3 linked regions of the Drosophila melanogaster genome follow. The protein of the gene in region 2 interacts with the protein of the main gene of each other region in a pairwise test. Each region holds a gene or a part of one and is shown on either strand. Other genes may lie near its edges.

Evidence for each region. Proteins that work in one complex are often made in the same cells at the same time.
Region 1: the proteins of CG13001 (region 2) and tey interact in a two-hybrid assay, tested with the Drosophila melanogaster proteins (one large-scale study listed by BioGRID).
Region 3: the proteins of CG13001 (region 2) and mus101 interact in a two-hybrid assay, tested with the Drosophila melanogaster proteins (one large-scale study listed by BioGRID).

What each region holds. Positions count from the first base shown.
Region 1 is NT_037436.4:19,660,627-19,665,253, forward strand, and holds the start of tey (teyrha-meyrha), read right to left. Parts: upstream 3,039-4,627; 5' UTR 2,770-3,038; coding exon 2,653-2,769; intron 1-2,652. UniProt on the Drosophila melanogaster protein: Required for the correct synaptic targeting of motoneurons RP5 and V to muscle 12 (M12). May be involved in the negative regulation of Tl in M12. Involved in the correct patterning of veins in the proximal (costal) region of the wing blade.
Region 2 is NC_004354.4:16,940,572-16,944,839, forward strand, and holds CG13001 (uncharacterized protein), read right to left. Parts: upstream 2,301-4,268; 5' UTR 2,012-2,300; coding exon 1,004-2,011; 3' UTR 515-1,003; downstream 1-514.
Region 3 is NC_004354.4:13,720,634-13,727,651, reverse strand, and holds mus101 (mutagen-sensitive 101), read right to left. Parts: upstream 5,407-7,018; 5' UTR 5,299-5,406; coding exon 1,021-5,298; 3' UTR 539-1,020; downstream 1-538. Other genes in the region: Mrgn1 (mahogunin ring finger 1), read left to right, coding at 5,976-7,018.

The DNA of each region.
Region 1 (4,627 bases), on a different chromosome or scaffold from region 2:
CTAACTTGCGGATGTGCATAGGCAACAAGGCCTATTTATATATGAGGATTATTCCGATTTGATGGTTAAGTTCATATGATTTAACCCAAAAATAAAACGGTCCCGATATTAATTCGCCTGGTGATAAAATAAAGTTGCTGTGACCAACTCAAAACAACACCATTTCTAACTTCATAACTGAGTTGGGGTTTTCAATTAGGTGATACGACTTTAACACTTGCAAATTTCTTTTTTGATATTGATATTTTCCTTAATTCATGTATTTGTACATACATATGTTCATTTCAAATAAGAAACCGCTTGTAAGGAACATGATATCACCTCTCCCTATCTCTACATTCTGTTGGAATTCTCTTGGCTAACTATCACTGACCATTTGGACATAATACTCCATTTGGTAGTAAGTACTGCTGGTTAAACGCCTCGCTGCCTCCGCATTTCGCTGCTTGGTTCCTAGCTGCCTTCCTGATAAATTGCCATAAATTAAATTAGGCTCAGACACACACACACACACACACACAGATAAATATAGAGACACACACTCGCATATGCAACACAACTCAACTACTCATACTTAGTGGCAATAAGTGGCAAAAAAATGAATTATTTTTCATATGTTGGCCCGCCTCAGTGCCATAACTCTGCCCAACCCAACTTGACTGCCATTTTCTGAAGGGGTCAGTCTGTTTACCTTTTGTTGTTCCTGCTGCCGTCGTGGTTACAGAATTGTTATGGTGCCTGGTGGGTTTCTTTTCCGCTGCCCTTCACCCACCCAAACAATCAGGTCGGTGGTTGAAGGTTCGTTGGCAAGCGGAGTGGAGGAGTGGAGGAGGCAGTTCCACTGGAAGCAGGCCCATATTAAACCATTTGACATTGCTTTTAATATGCTCGCTCGGCTTGTTTTTATTAATTTTTATGGTTTGCCCCATGCCCAATTGTAATCGGTTTCATAAATTATGCTAGATAAGCGACTTGTGCAGTGGCCTTAGAAGGAATCGTCATTGGAAGAAGAAATGGCAAAGAAAGCTGAAGAAACTAATACTCAGCTATGGAATGCAGAGAAAGCTAGCTGAAGATGTATGTATGCTAAAAGATATTTAAAGATATTGAAAAGTAAAAATTTACTTCTTGTTCTTCTTATATAACAGATTTAAACCTATATCTAGTATTGCATTTTATGATGATTATTTATTAAGAACTTTATTGAAAATATTTAAGTGACATTGAGGCGGCTAAAACTTGATAGGTATCAATATAGGCCCTGTTTCGCGACAAGAATTCCTCAAAAGCAAGGTAAATACTTGATCTTTCTAAGCGATATTCCTGCTTTTCCACTGTCTTCCGTGGCGAAAATCGGTTCCTCACAACCCAACTCGCATCTGAACGCCGAGGACATATTGTTGTCATGTTTAACATATCTTAACGCTACTCAATGCTATGCAGGGCAGAGATACATATGTACGTTCCTATTCGGACTGCAGCTCCGATCGGAATAACCAGTTTCGCCAAGCGGACTGTTCGAACATCATCAGCGCCCGAGTTCTTCATCATTTGTAGCATCAGCGTCAAGATCATTGCTCATGTTTACAATGATGACAGGCAGCAGAATGAGCAGAAGCTGGCCGGGAATCGACTTCCAGCCAAATCAAATGGGTCTGCTCTGTGGGATCGGTATTGGGACTGGAATCGGAATCGGGCCAGTAGTTAACTGCGGCCCGCTTCCACTTCCACTCCATCAGGCCCGACTCGCAGTTCGGAATTGAAGCTATCATAAATCTGTTCGTCGCAAAAATCTACACACAATGGGGCGTTTGCAAACGCATTCGCCGATCGGAATGCGAAGACGAACTCTCTGAATCTGCCTCTTGACTGACTGCCGCATTGGAAATGCGATCGTGATCGGGCAGTTCTTTTGGGATATAGGAAAGAACAGAAATTGTATGAGAGGATGGAAAAATTCGACTATTGAACTATTTAGAAGTGTTCCTATAGAGCTTTTATCTTTGCTTTAAATAGGAACGCGAAATAAAAACACCCATATTCTCTCAATGGAGAAGTTCATTCAAACTATGTTCAATTTAGGGTCCAGATACCGAAAATTTGATTATCGTTGTAGTTGTTTCTTTTTTTTTTTTGTAAATTAACATTATGAGATCTATCATTTTGAACAAGGATACTGGCTTCCTTTATGTACATATTATATATAATAACTCCATTTTAACCTATGCTCCATCTAAATAAAGTAGCTCACATTATACACTGCACTTAAACGAGCTCTCACAGCTTTCTCCTCACTTTCTCTCTACGTAATGGATCCTTAATTGAGTGCATGATCGGCAATCACGCTGTCATCCCTAGGCGCATCGCCAACTGGAAGTTCACTTGGAACTTCTGGTCGGATTTGTTGTTTTACAATGCAGCATTGTTTTGCTTGCTGTTGGGGTTTTGGCCGCCGTTTCGCGATTCCTTTGCCTCGCTAGCGGTGTGCTGATTTATGGCATCTTTCGGCATTTCGGCTACCGGCCCCCAGTCTTTATGATTTGTCATAAATATGTCCCCTCTCCGTCCGATCAGAATCGATCGGCTGGGCGATTCCAATCAGCGGCTGTCCGGATGGTTTGGGCTGAGGTTGAGTTTCTGGGCTCTACTTACTCTCGATGGAAACGGACGTTGTCCACGTAGAGCCTCGTGCAGACCGGAAGCGGCTTCCGAGAGGACAACGAGCGCTTGGGACGGCAAATGGCTGCTGCCAAATGCGTTGCTTTCCATCTGCAGCTCGTTTGTGTTTTGTTTTGGTTTTGGTTTAGACTAATTTGGCACTAGGGGGCACTCATAACCTCACTTTCGCTTGTGTTTCAATGTTGGCACATGCAAAGATCACTCGGTATCGGTGATAATCGGTTGGGAATTGTATTTGCGCGTCGGTAAAACGGTAAAGCTCGGATCAGCTGACAGCTCGCTCGCTCTCCTTCTCTCTAAAACTCTCTCGCTCGCTCGACACAGGACACCCGCACGTACGCGCTGCAGAAATCCAACTGAAGCCAAATGGAAACCAGTTGCCGTTAGTTGGCCCGTGTTCTTCCTCTTCTCCAGCCTTGCCGCTGCGCAGTCGGCGTCGGCGTCGCCGCGTAACGCCTCACGACCTCTGATTGGCCAGCGGCCACAACCGGTTTGTCTACACTGTCGCCATCCCGCTCTCGCGCACGCCCACTCCCACTGCGGCAGTGTCTTTACATTATGTTCTCACCTCCTTGGGCGCGCAGTTTGTTGTTGCCGCTGCATTATTATCCCAAAATGGTTGCGTTTGTCCATCCGTTGGCCATTGAACGCCTGTTTGTCTGGCAGCACCTGGTACTCGCACTCGAACTGGTACTGGCACTGGTACTGGCACTCTCCGGGTTTCCCCGCCCCCACAACCATTTTCCACCTCGATCAGCTCCCCTCCCTTGGACGTAAACTTCTGACATTTTGTGTAAATAAACCGTATGGGAAACATTTTTACTTTTGGCTTTGGCATTTTGTTGTTGTTTGTCGGACACTGTCCCGGACAAAAGTATCTTGGAAGTAGTCTCTTTCCTTTTTTCTGCCCCTGCAGCTGGGTTTTTGCACACCGTCCACTTAATATAGCGCATTACTGTGGTATTTATTGGGCGCGAAGTGGCGAAAATATTTCGGAAGCAGGGTGTCAAGAAAATTGGAATTTAATAGGCCGCGACTGCTATTCTGGTTAAAAGAACCAAGTCAATTGCACAACGACAAAATATTGTTAAGAATATATGTACATATAAATAGTAATAATAGTCGTGTAGTAACTAGACTTTAAAGTTTAAGAAATTATATTGCTTTATGGGTTTTATCGTTTTCAAGATTATAATTGGAAAACATAACAATAATAAATTGTTAAGACTTATCTTTTCCTTGTAGTATTCAGTAATTATTGAATAATGGTGAAGATGGACTTTAAGACTTCAGTAAGCTGGCAGAACGTATTCATTTTCAGCACTTGCTCCACTGTCAACTGGCCAACAAAGTAGCTACGAGCAGAAATAGTTGTCACACAATATTACTGCAAACAAGAAGCTACAACTATAGCAGTATTAAAACAGAGGAGACATCCTCCAGCAACCACTGTGTTTAGTGTTGGGGACAGCATAAAAAGCTTAACCATTCTGCGCGCAACTTTTTATTGGCAGCTCGTTGCGCTGTGATTTCCAATACGCCGGACTAACTAAATAAAGTATTTTCCCTGCAATTTACTCGGATTGGTAGGGAGGAGCACCTCGCGGAGGTGCTGAAGATGCGTGTAAAAAATGCGCAAGCCTTTCTGACATGTTTATGGGGCCCTGTCCGTCAAAACGAGCCAGTTGACACCAGACGCTCCCCGCTCCTTTAATTGGTGGCTAGTAAATTTTCTCTTTACCATCTTTGGGTTGGGGGATCTGCTCGCGGAGATATCTTCTAATTTTTTGCTCATTAAATTTACATTTTAAGAATTCCTGTGAGAACAGACGAGCCTGCACTTTATAATTTCCATCAGCCTGCCTTTCGGTTTATTAGCCATCTCTGTCGGTGGGAGGGAGTGCGCGATACTGACGAGGGCGTTGAGTGGGAGGAGTGAGAGGGAGTG
Region 2 (4,268 bases):
GTGCGAAGAATTGGAGAAAGAGAGGCGGAGAAAGACGCGGCGCAGAACTTTCTCTTTTCACAAATTCTACGCACGCAGCGACAACAAGAACAAAAACGACAAACTGATCCACAAAAACAAAAAAAAAAAAGAAAACCAAGTGCACTGATGCGTTCAATTTGAACTGGTTGTTGCTATGTTTCACTAAAATTGCAATTGAAACAATTTGAAACAATACGAATTTGTTGTTTTGCGGGCTGGATTAAAAAATTGAATAAAAATCCGAACTTTTTGCTCGGCTTAAGCTAGGTGTGACCAAGTGCAGGGACAGGCCAAAATACCATGGATCTAAATTTTAGTACGTTGTATATCTACAATACTCTTTAGTTCACAAACGATGTATGGCAAATGTAAAATGTATAAAATATAATGCAAGTATATAAACATCAGTTATAGTTATTGTATTAAAATACACACATATAAAATCAAATCCAATAATCCAAATAATTTAATCTATAACCAAAAGAACCCATTTAAAAATGAAATATTTTTATTGATATTTGTGTTTTTTTTTTGCTGCTTAAATATAACATAGTTGCATATTTAGCATGGCTTACATGTATAAACAAAATTTTTGTTCTCGATAATTTGACACGTTATTTGAGCTTTTAAAAAATACTTAGCCTATGATTATAGTTAAAATAAAAATCAAATTCATTGAGTTTACCAACTAAAATTGTTATGAGAATTTGTTAGCGGCCGGCGTGTCATGAATAATTTCTTCATCGATTTTCAAATACACTAGTAATGTATAAAATATTAATGCAAGTATTTGACATTCTTTTAAATCTTCTCCGATAATCATGAGCACACCCGCCTTGCGTCGTTGTAATACTTTTCATTGGGATTAATAATAAATAGATGAGGCAAAAAAAAAAAAACGCATTCGATTTAGTGCGCTGAGTTTCCGGAACCAGCTCCGGACTTAAGATGAGTGTAGTTGCTGGTCTGGAGCGGTGGCCACTTAGTTGTTCTTCTTCTTGGGCTTCTTCGGATTGCGGGAGCGCGACTTGGCCTTGCAGAGCGGACAGATGGGCGCGTTCCGGTGGATCTGCTGGTGGCAGGACAGACAGGACTTCATGGGCGGCGGCTGCTGGCGGAGATTCACATTGAAGTCGGAGCGGAACGAGGGATGGTGGCCGATGCCGATCGAAGGCGATTGCTGCAGTCGATTGCTGGGCGGCGGCGGTGGCGGTGGTGCTGAGAAGTCACCCTTGCCCAGACGCACTGCAGCAGCAGCGGCGGCGGCAGCAGCACTGCCTGCTCCCGGCGGTGCGGGTGGCATGAAGGCGTGTCCAGGATTGCCGCCACCACCGCCTCCGCCGCCCACAGATCCTCCGCCACCGCCTGCAGCGCCGCCACCACCAACGCCGCCCTGTCCGCCGCCAGAAGGCAGCGCGGTGACCGTGGCCTCCGGCATCAGAGGATGCCGGGCATGCGGACGGGCCAACGACGAGTTCTGATTAACCGAGGCCGCCGCCGCAGCTGCAGCAGCTGCTGCTGCCGCCGACTGGGCGGCCACCTTAAGGAAGTTGGTCTGGAAGCGATCCTTCGAAATGGGACTGCCCTCCTCCTCGTGCAGATCTCGCAGCGGGCTTAGTCCGAGATAGTCGCGGCGCATGTGATCAATCTGGTACTTCAGGGCCAGGTACTCCTCGTACACCCGGTTGGCCATGTCGAAGGAGCGGGTCTGGTTCTCCTTCGTCTGCTTGATGATGTTCTCCATGTCGTTGATGTCCGCGTGGATCTGGCGCAGCTCTTCCACGTGCGACATCTTCTCCTCGAGCAGGTGCTCCATCTCCTTGCGGTACTCCTCCAGGCACTTCTCCTCGTCGTCGCTCAGCTTCACCTCCTTGATGATCCGCACTTTGAGCTTCTCCAGCGACAGCGTCTTGTCCCTGATGTCCTTGATGGCCTCCAGTTTGGCGTAGTAGTGCCGCTCATTGGAGCTCGAGATCTCGCTGGTGGCCATTGTAGATCCAAAACGATCCGTGTGGTATAATATGTGTATTTTCGAAAGACTCTCGAGTGTTTTCTGTATGGCCCCCTCCACTGGGCGAATGTTTATTTTGCACTTTTTCACTAGCCTAATAGTTCGATGTCGGATTTTCCGGCCGATTCTTAAGCATCTGATATGGATGATCGCGTCTTTTGGGATAATCCTTTGGAATGGCGCACTTTTAATTGATTTTTTCTTTATTTATTTGATTTTTTCTCTGCTAATGCTAATACCATTTTTTTCTGGTATACAATGCAGTGTTACCAGAGCGTGGAAGTAATTTTTACATTTAATCACGACCAGCCGATTATTTGCTATCGATAGCTGGCAGTGCGGTATATATCGTTTTTTAAATAGAAAACAAATTCCTTCCAATTCCAATTCCTTATACGTACAAATTTACTTAAATGATTACACTATAGTTAAAGTGCTTTACTGATTTTACCGTGGGCGCTGCTTTAAAATTTAAAAATCCGGTAAATTCCAGTTGCTGTGGCAAAAAACTTAAATCTGGCATTCATGCCGAGATAATATTCAGTTAACTATTGATATAAAATGTTTCAGTTATATGGAAAGAACGTTAGTATTAAAATTTACATTATTACATATAACTAAAATTAATAACTTGTATCCTAGCTACTAGTTTAGTAACTAGTTTTGCCGGCATTCGCTGTCTTTCCGCCAACGGTCACACTAGGCGCGCCCCGTTATATTACATTATGCATTTGTATTCTTCGATCGGTCGCAGATCGTTCGGATCGGAAAATCCGGTTCGGAAAGCGGGCATTGGGGACAAAAACAAAGAATCTTGTTCTGGTCATGACTTTTCCATCCGCGAATTGTCAACTTCTGTTTAGCGAATAGTTGTTGTTCCCTTTTGGAGACAACAACAAAAAAAGACATCGATCGCGCGAGAGAGAGAGACAGATGCAAACAATGCGTACGCGCGCGTATGTGTGTGTGAAACATTCCGCAAGTGATTCATTCCGCAAGAATAATAAATAAATAAACAAATATTAGTAAACTGGGCCGAAATGTTTGTGGAAATGTGTCAACTAGTTGCGGCAGTAAAATATCAGTGCAATATCGATATGTGTGGGAAATCAGCTTAGCAATTTAGCAGAGACTTTGCTTTTCGCCCACCGCTCTCTCCCTCTCTCTCACACTCTTTGTTTTCGTTTTTTATTGTTGTGCTCTGGTTGTGTTTGTGTGTGTTGTGAATATAAAACGAAGTTAAGTTGACCACGCAGAAACTGCATACGAAATTTTTAACAAGGAAAAAGCGAAAGGTAAAAGCGATTTTTATTATTTTTATTTGAAAGCCGCAGTTTCTTTGCGATCTCTTTTTCTGCGGGCTTCGATTTTCAATGGTCTCTTCTCTCTTCAATGCGTTCTAATCAATCCGTGTTTACATACGGGCTGTGTGTCTGTGTTAGTTGGCTGATAATTTTTAGTGACAGCTATGTGCCAAATAATAGTAATATCTACAATAAATCAAATATAAATAATGCGAAATACGGCAATATTGATAACATTGTGAATTTTAATCATTATACTTTGAAATGTTTAAAAACATTTCGTTAGTATATGTTTATATATTTGTATTATATTTTAATTTAGTGTTTTTGCCACCTATGCGTTTTATGCAATATAATGATATTTTTTCCTAAATTTATAAAACCACTATGGCTGTGTACACATTTGTATGTATGATAATTTTTGACACACATATATTTCGCTTCTAACTGCTTATCGCTCCCATTTAGCGATAGACTGTGCGAGCGGGACAGGTGTCACCTGTTGCGCTTCTTCGCTCCATCTCTCCACCGCTCTTCCCTCTCTCTCTCTCTCTTTCCATCGTTTGACACATTTTGTTGCTGTTCTTAATTGTTTGGCAATTAAGTCAATTATAAACATATTAAGACAGCCGACACACATTCTCCGATTGGATGCGCTTTTCCCTTTGACTTTCGCAGAAGAATCAATAACCAAATTAATCGATCAATCCAGGCGATAAGTCCGAAAATTGGGCTAAATAAATAAAAGCCTCTCAAGATCTTTTAGTTATGGTAATAAATAAAGTACACTATGCATAAGTTCGTTGGGGTACGTGAAATACAACAAACTCGTGAGTTGACAAATATTTGGATTTTTAGAGCCTAATGTATCTATGATCCGTAAACATTATGATTACTAAAAGATAATGTTAGCTGCTCACTCTATGTGCATT
Region 3 (7,018 bases), 3.2 Mb from region 2:
CTGCAAAAAATCGAAAATGAATATGAGAAACAGATCAACTGGCAACCAGAATGCCATGCGATGCAGATCGATTCCTGGATACTATCTATTTTTGATGAATTTGTTGCCTAGAGCATGAGATTCCACTAATAAACAAAAACAAAAAAAAACACACCCACAAACACAGACAATTATATAGCTATAGTTATATAAAATGGAATTTTATAATGAATCCCACACAGAGAATAGAACAAACAGCATGGATTGTAAAAACAAATTATATATGTATACATGTGAAGCCGTATGAATCAAATATAAAGTACTGCTATACAACATAATTACTAAAAAAAACAAAAACAAAAACTGAAGCTAAGTGAAATTATACATACATACATGCATATTATATACAAACACACACACAAGCCCACATACAAATATATAAACGTTAAATAAATGAAAAGTACAATACACTTGCATATTGATTTATTGTTTAATTTGGCTGCGGAAAATAAATAATGTAATTGATCGAAATCGGGATGAAAAAAATAGAATTTCTTTAGGTTTTTAATATTACATTTTGTTTATTAAATTGAAGTTGGAATGAAATTAATAATGGAAATAAACTTAATAAGGTAGCTTCAATAAAAAAATAGATAATCGTCAAATTTCATTCTAAAATAATTTGCGCTTTGACTTAGAATTAATTTTCAACAACACCTTTAGAAATAAATCACTAAATACAATTATCAAATGGACTTCAATTTCAGTTCGTTTATTTTGAAGTTAATTAACGATATTAATTTATTAGTAATTCATTACGCTAAAGGCTTCCAAATATTATGATTTTTTTCAGTAACCAAAAGAAAAGGACACAAATCAAAAATTCAAAATTACACTTACAACTGATTAAACTAGACCTATTTTAAATTAAACCTTTGAAGGCTTTAATTCAATAACTTTTATATAACCACAAAATATCAAAATATAGAACAGGAACAAAAAAAAAAATCCAATGCATGTACAAAGAATCTAATGATTCGTTCAAAGGAGCTGGTACTTTCCCAGATCGGCATCCCTGCCGTTCATCAAATATGCGTTGATGGCAATCTGGCTGAGCACCTGCACACCACATTTGTGAAGATACTCCATGTCCTGGGTCGACAGCGGCGCCTTCTTCACATCGACAAAACAATGGCTGGCACTTTTGGCCACAGGATCTTTGGAGAACGGAGTTGTTGGCTCCAGGATGCAAGCGCCGCCGGCACGCAGCACATTCCTGATGGGCGCCCCGCTCCTCTCGTTCATGCTGAGTATAACCCGGTGATCGGAGAAGGCGCCACCGCCGCACGCACTCAACTCCGTGCGCCAACGGTGGACGGCGGCAGCGATGGGCTCCTCCTCCGGTGCCAGGGTGGGCAAGTTAATGGCCTTCGGGTTGCCCCATTCGTACAGCGTTTCGTCCAGAAAGTCGCCACGCGCATGCGACTGTTCGATATACTGGATATTTAGTATCCATTTCCCGGCCGCAATGCAGGCCAGCATCTTCTCGCCGCGATTCGGACGCTCGCACAGCAGATGGGTGCAGCTATCGTCATAGTTCACCAGATTCTCGCACACTTTTCCGCCCAGTTGGGTGATCCGCGCGATTAGTTCCGCCCGCTTTTCGTCATCATCACCGCACGAGATGCTGAAGCACGGTATGCCAGCATACTGCATCTTGGGCGAACCGCCAGAGGATCTTCTCTTTGCCGCATTGAACTCCGCCGGATCGCGCCAGTCGACCATGTCCTCGGTGCCCAGGGCGAAGCCCTCGGACTCGAAGGGCTGCACATACTGCACCTCGCTCTCGCCGCAATCCATGTCGTTGTCGTGGCTACGCTTCAGACTGTTCCTTCGCGATTCGCAGTTCTTTAGATAGTCGGTGATTTGCTTGACATCTGGCGCCACTGTGGGAACATCTGGGGCCAATACGGGCACGGCCGACTCCTCGAAGCTAATCTTGTCAAAGTTAATAGTGCTCTGACCTTCCTCGCTTAACGTTGGACCATCTGAACGCCGTGGCGGCGCTGCTTCGATTGGACTCTGTGTGTTCGGTACGAAGGGTGATTGCGTTCCGCTGCGGGGTGAACCCATGGACACCCGGAGTGGCGTCTTTTTACCTAGCGATAGCTTCGGTGTTTTCGGTGATCTATCAAAGTTGAGTTTGGTGGCCTGCGTCGTCCTGGTTGGCGGCTTCTTCTTTACCGTTGATGGCGATTCCGATAGCGTTGGCGTCTTAGCATTACTTTCTTCATATTCGATGCCCAGAGTTTCGCATGTGATCCGCATCACGCGCTGCCTGATGACGGCCAACGGTGTGTCTGGTTTGATTTTCATGGTGGGTAGGCGCCAGCGCCGCTCAAAATCATCGGCCATCCGCTGCTGGAACTCGGGAGTGAGACAAAAATCTGGAATTCCCGGTGCTGGTCGTTGATGCTTACGACTGACGGGCGTGCAGGCCTGCCGTCGAATGCGTTCCAATTCCGGCGTTTGATTCTCGCGCATTTCACGGATAATCTCGCGCACACAATCCTTGCCCTCTTCTGTATCCAGGCGTTGAACGAATTGCTCTAGGAAGTCCAGATTGTACTGCTGGGCACCCACCTGGCTAAGTGGCGTGCATGGTGAGTCCGGAGAAGATGTGGAGTTGCTGCCACGATGAAGAGCACTGCCTCCTGGTATTCCAGCTAGCTCGGAAACTCTCTTGTTGCGCAGGGGCGTCAGTTCAGGAGCTCCTGGACTGCCAGCAGTAACTGGTGTGACAGATCCCGCCGGTTGGTTCTCGGCCTCCTCCATGGTTACATCCGGTTGAGCCACCAATGTGGATTCATTCGGTCTTCTTGCTGTCCGGCTATTGCTGTCCCGCAAGCGTGGCGATATGGGGAAATCCTCGGGACTCTTGCCCACCAAATATCCAACGAAGGGCAGCTTCTGACCAGTGCGGGCGCACTGCACCAGCCAATCGGATGTGACTACGGGATAGTTCCATTTGATGGCACCTTCATACTTGGAGCCCTCGGCACTGGGACACACCAGCAGCGGTTTCTCCTTCTTGATGAATGTCTTATTGACGGAGGCGCCAAGTAGTTCTGCTGTCGCATTAATAAAGTCCCGCTCCAATCCTGCATAAATGGATACGACAATAGTCATTCCCTTAAGCGGCTGACGCAGTGCGGTAGCCGGCACATGTTTGTGGTAATATTCGATGGGCAGCAGTTGATTCTTTTTCATACAGCTTTCCAGGAACAGTTCGGTGACCACATGGCGGGCCTTGACGGGTAATTGCTTCACATCGAAGGCTACCTCAAAGCTGACAATGGCGAAATCCACTTCATCGGAGAAACTCGATGGCACCAATAAGCCTTGGGCAGCTTCGCATTCGGTTAGCATTTGGTTGAAGAACTCCTCGTTGAAACACTCCCTGTGCACATAAACAGAGACACCGGCGAAGTAGTCCAGCTTATCGAAATCAATGGATAGAGTGCTGGCACTGAGATCCGGCAATTGCAAACCCTCAGCGGGTGGTTTTGGATTGGCTACCGAGACTCGCTGGCGTATATCCATTTGGGTGGAACTTGCCGCTGGTTGAAGGAGACTAACATCTGCCGGTGGCAGTTGTGCCACTGCTCCTTGATCCTGTGAGTACTGATCCAGCAGCGTATGATCCGGCTCCTCGTGCTCCTGTTCCTGCACGGGATCCGGTTCCTGATCGAAAAGCTTCTTCTTGATGGGCAATGTTGGCTGCTTGAAGCTGTGGTTCATGGAGCGCAGTGTTCGCTTGCTGGCAGGAGAGGCAACGTCTGGTTCTCGATTCTGTGGCATCGACACACGATGCACCAACTCACTGACCACGCGACCAGCTCGAATGCTCTCCAGCAGCCAATCTAGGCGCACCACATGAACTGAACCCATGAGACCATCGCGCTGCCACTGTCGGTATTCGGCGTCATCCAGTTGGCCCACAATGATGTGTGAGATGCCCTCATTGGCCTCATCGTAGCGGGTCGCTCCGCCCGTATTCAGCACTCTGTTTAGCTTCTCACGCTCCTCTGAGCGGAAGCCACTCAAATACACACAGCAGCCATCCAGAAAGGCGCCCGCTTTTTTCGCCTGACGCGGTTCAATCTCGGCCAGCACCTGCTGGTAGTTGCGGCCACTGCTAGTCGCCTGCTTGAGCAGCTGCTTGGCGGGCGAACTGCTGCCCACACTGCTGACGGATTCGTTGACGGTACTAAGATCGCTGCACATGCGACGCGAGCCGGAGACGAAGCTGATACGTGAGAGATCCGAGAGGTGCGTTTGATCTGCACCGGGAGCTGCGCCCGGACGAGTGGTCTTGGTGGGTGTGGACGACGTCTTGCCAGGCCGCACCTCATAGTCCTTTGTGGGCAGAGCGTAGCCGCGATTGCAGCTATCGAAGATCCATTCCGGCAGCAAGACATCCTTCTTGTAGCGTATGGCTGCCTTATACTTCTCGGTGTCCGTTTTTGTTTGCTCGGTGATGACGATGTCCACCACCTGGGAGCGAAAGGCACGATGATAGATGCCTCCATTATCGTTGACCAGCCGCATAACTTGATCCTTGCGCGCCACATCCAATCCACTGCACGTGATATTCGCACCAAAGAAAATGGGCAGGCGATACTTATCGAAATCAGGATCCGTGGCCATGATGCCCTCGCGCTGGCTGCGACGACTCTGATCCCAGACGTACTGCACCCAGTCGACGTGCATTACGGGTACTCCGTTCAGCGTTGCCTGCTCGTACTTGCTGGACTTGATGGTGTTCGAAATGAGGTGGGTGGTGCGATGCCCGAAGCTTTGAAAGTATATGCCGCCCATCCAGTTTATGAGCCTGCTCAATTCCTCTTTCTTCTGTGGTGTTATGCCCGTGGCCGAGACCTGCAGATCCCGCATGGCCGTGCTGTAGATGGCACTGCTGCCCTCGGGAATGGGTTCATTGCGCCGCAGGCAGGTGATGAGGCACGGTGGCCCCAGAATTAGTGCTCGCGTCTGCTGCAATTGCTCGAAGAATTCGCCCTCGAACTGGGTCAGCACAAAGACGTCCTTCTTGGTAAGGTTACCGGCTGCGATCAGGGGATATCCTTCGCTTGGCTTTATTTGCCGGATCTGCGTTTCCGCCAACTGTTGGCCCAGTAGCTCCCGCGCCGCCTCGAATTGCTGCAGTGTGTCGGCCTCCTGGACGCCACCGTCGCCCGGCTTCAGATTGTTCACGAAGTACGCGCAGATGGTCTCGTCCATGCTCATGCTTATGCTCATGATGGCGGTTGCGAGTGTGTTCTCTGCTCCGTGATGCGCTGCAAAATTGCCGTGATTTTCGCACTGCACTTTTTTTCGCGTACGCTATTTTGGCGCCGTTTGTTATTGCCTTCAAACCGTTGGCAACGCTGGCTTGTGATTAGTTGGCAACTACGAGTTGAGCTATGTGGCAACGCCGACGGCGAATTAAAAAATAATGTGTATGGGTAATTTTAATTATTTATCTCTAAGATGTAAGGATTTTTTATTTACTTTTTATCAAATAAATAAAATATTTCGAAAATAAGCAGTTATTTATCAGTTTTGGTTTAAGCTATCGATATATTTCATTAAGCGAAATATCGATATCCACGTCGTCGACGGCAGCTCAGCCCTAAAAGAAAGGAAGAAAGAAGAAAGGAAAGGCAAATCAGAAATAATCAAGACATTGACCAACTTGTACTATTGCTAGTTTTGTGGACACAGGATCCAACACTTGAAGGCGACCACAGCTTTCGCACACTCACACACACACAGCGGCCATTTTCCGCCGAACAAGTGAAATGCCAACATGCCATTGTATGTGTGGTGGTGACCAACTGAAATAGAATAATAAACTAAACCAAAGCGAAGAGAAAACGTAGGCCAAGAGCTATATTGGATCTGTGTCACAGTTTTCCATAGCACCAACCTATCAAATGGGCAACTTTGTGAGCAGACAGAACGCGGCGGTGGAGGAGGCCGATCCGAGCACGAACAATGCCTACAAGTATCCACCGAGAATGGGTAACTTCTTTGGCACCCACTTCATCATGGGCGGCGAGCGCTTCGACACGCCCCAACCGGAATCGTACTTGTTTGGCGAGAATGCGGATCTCAATTTCCTGGGCAATCGACCCACAGCCTTTCCGTATCCCCCGCCGCAGGCCAATGAACCGACGAAGACCCTGAAGAGTCTGGTCAACATTCGCAAGGAGTCGGTGCGTTTCGTCAAGACGATGAACGACAAGAAGCTGGGCGGTGTACTCGAGAAGCCCAAGATGAAGGAGATTGATCGGGACTTGGATCTGGACAAGGAGAAGTCCAACGTGACCATCGAGGATGTGGATGGAAATGTGCTCTGCTCGATGGGTTTGGGTGGCGGTGATGCCGATATGACGCCCCCACCGCCGCCCTGCTCTTACAACATCGAGTTTACCTTTGACTCGGACGCCAAGTGCGCCATTACCATTTACTATTTCTGCTCGGAGGATGTCAGTCCCAGCGGCGTGACACTGGTGCCGCGCGAGGGTCTCACCTCGGAGACGTACCACTACGAGAAGGGCATCAATCAGTGCTTCTCGCAGCCGAGCCATGTCTTCAATCCGCAGCAGATGCCCGAGGATGAACTGGGCTATAGTCCCGGCCGTGAACAGTATCCCGTGGCCATTCACTGTGTGGTGGAGGAGGGCAGCGACGAGTGTCGGCAATCGCACACCACCATCTGTGTGATCGATCATCATCCGGAAAACGGCAGCTATGTGCTGCGTGCATTGAAGCAAAAGATCTTTGTGGATGGCTTGTGCTACCTGCTACAGGAGATCTATGGCATCGAGAACAAGGCCGTGAACAAAACGTCTCTGGACGAGGAGATCGACGATCATGGCAGCGAGTGTGTTATTTGCATGAGTGAGACGAGGGATACGCTCATCCTGCCCTGCCGCCATCTCTGTTTGTGCAATTCATGCGCGGATTCGCTGCG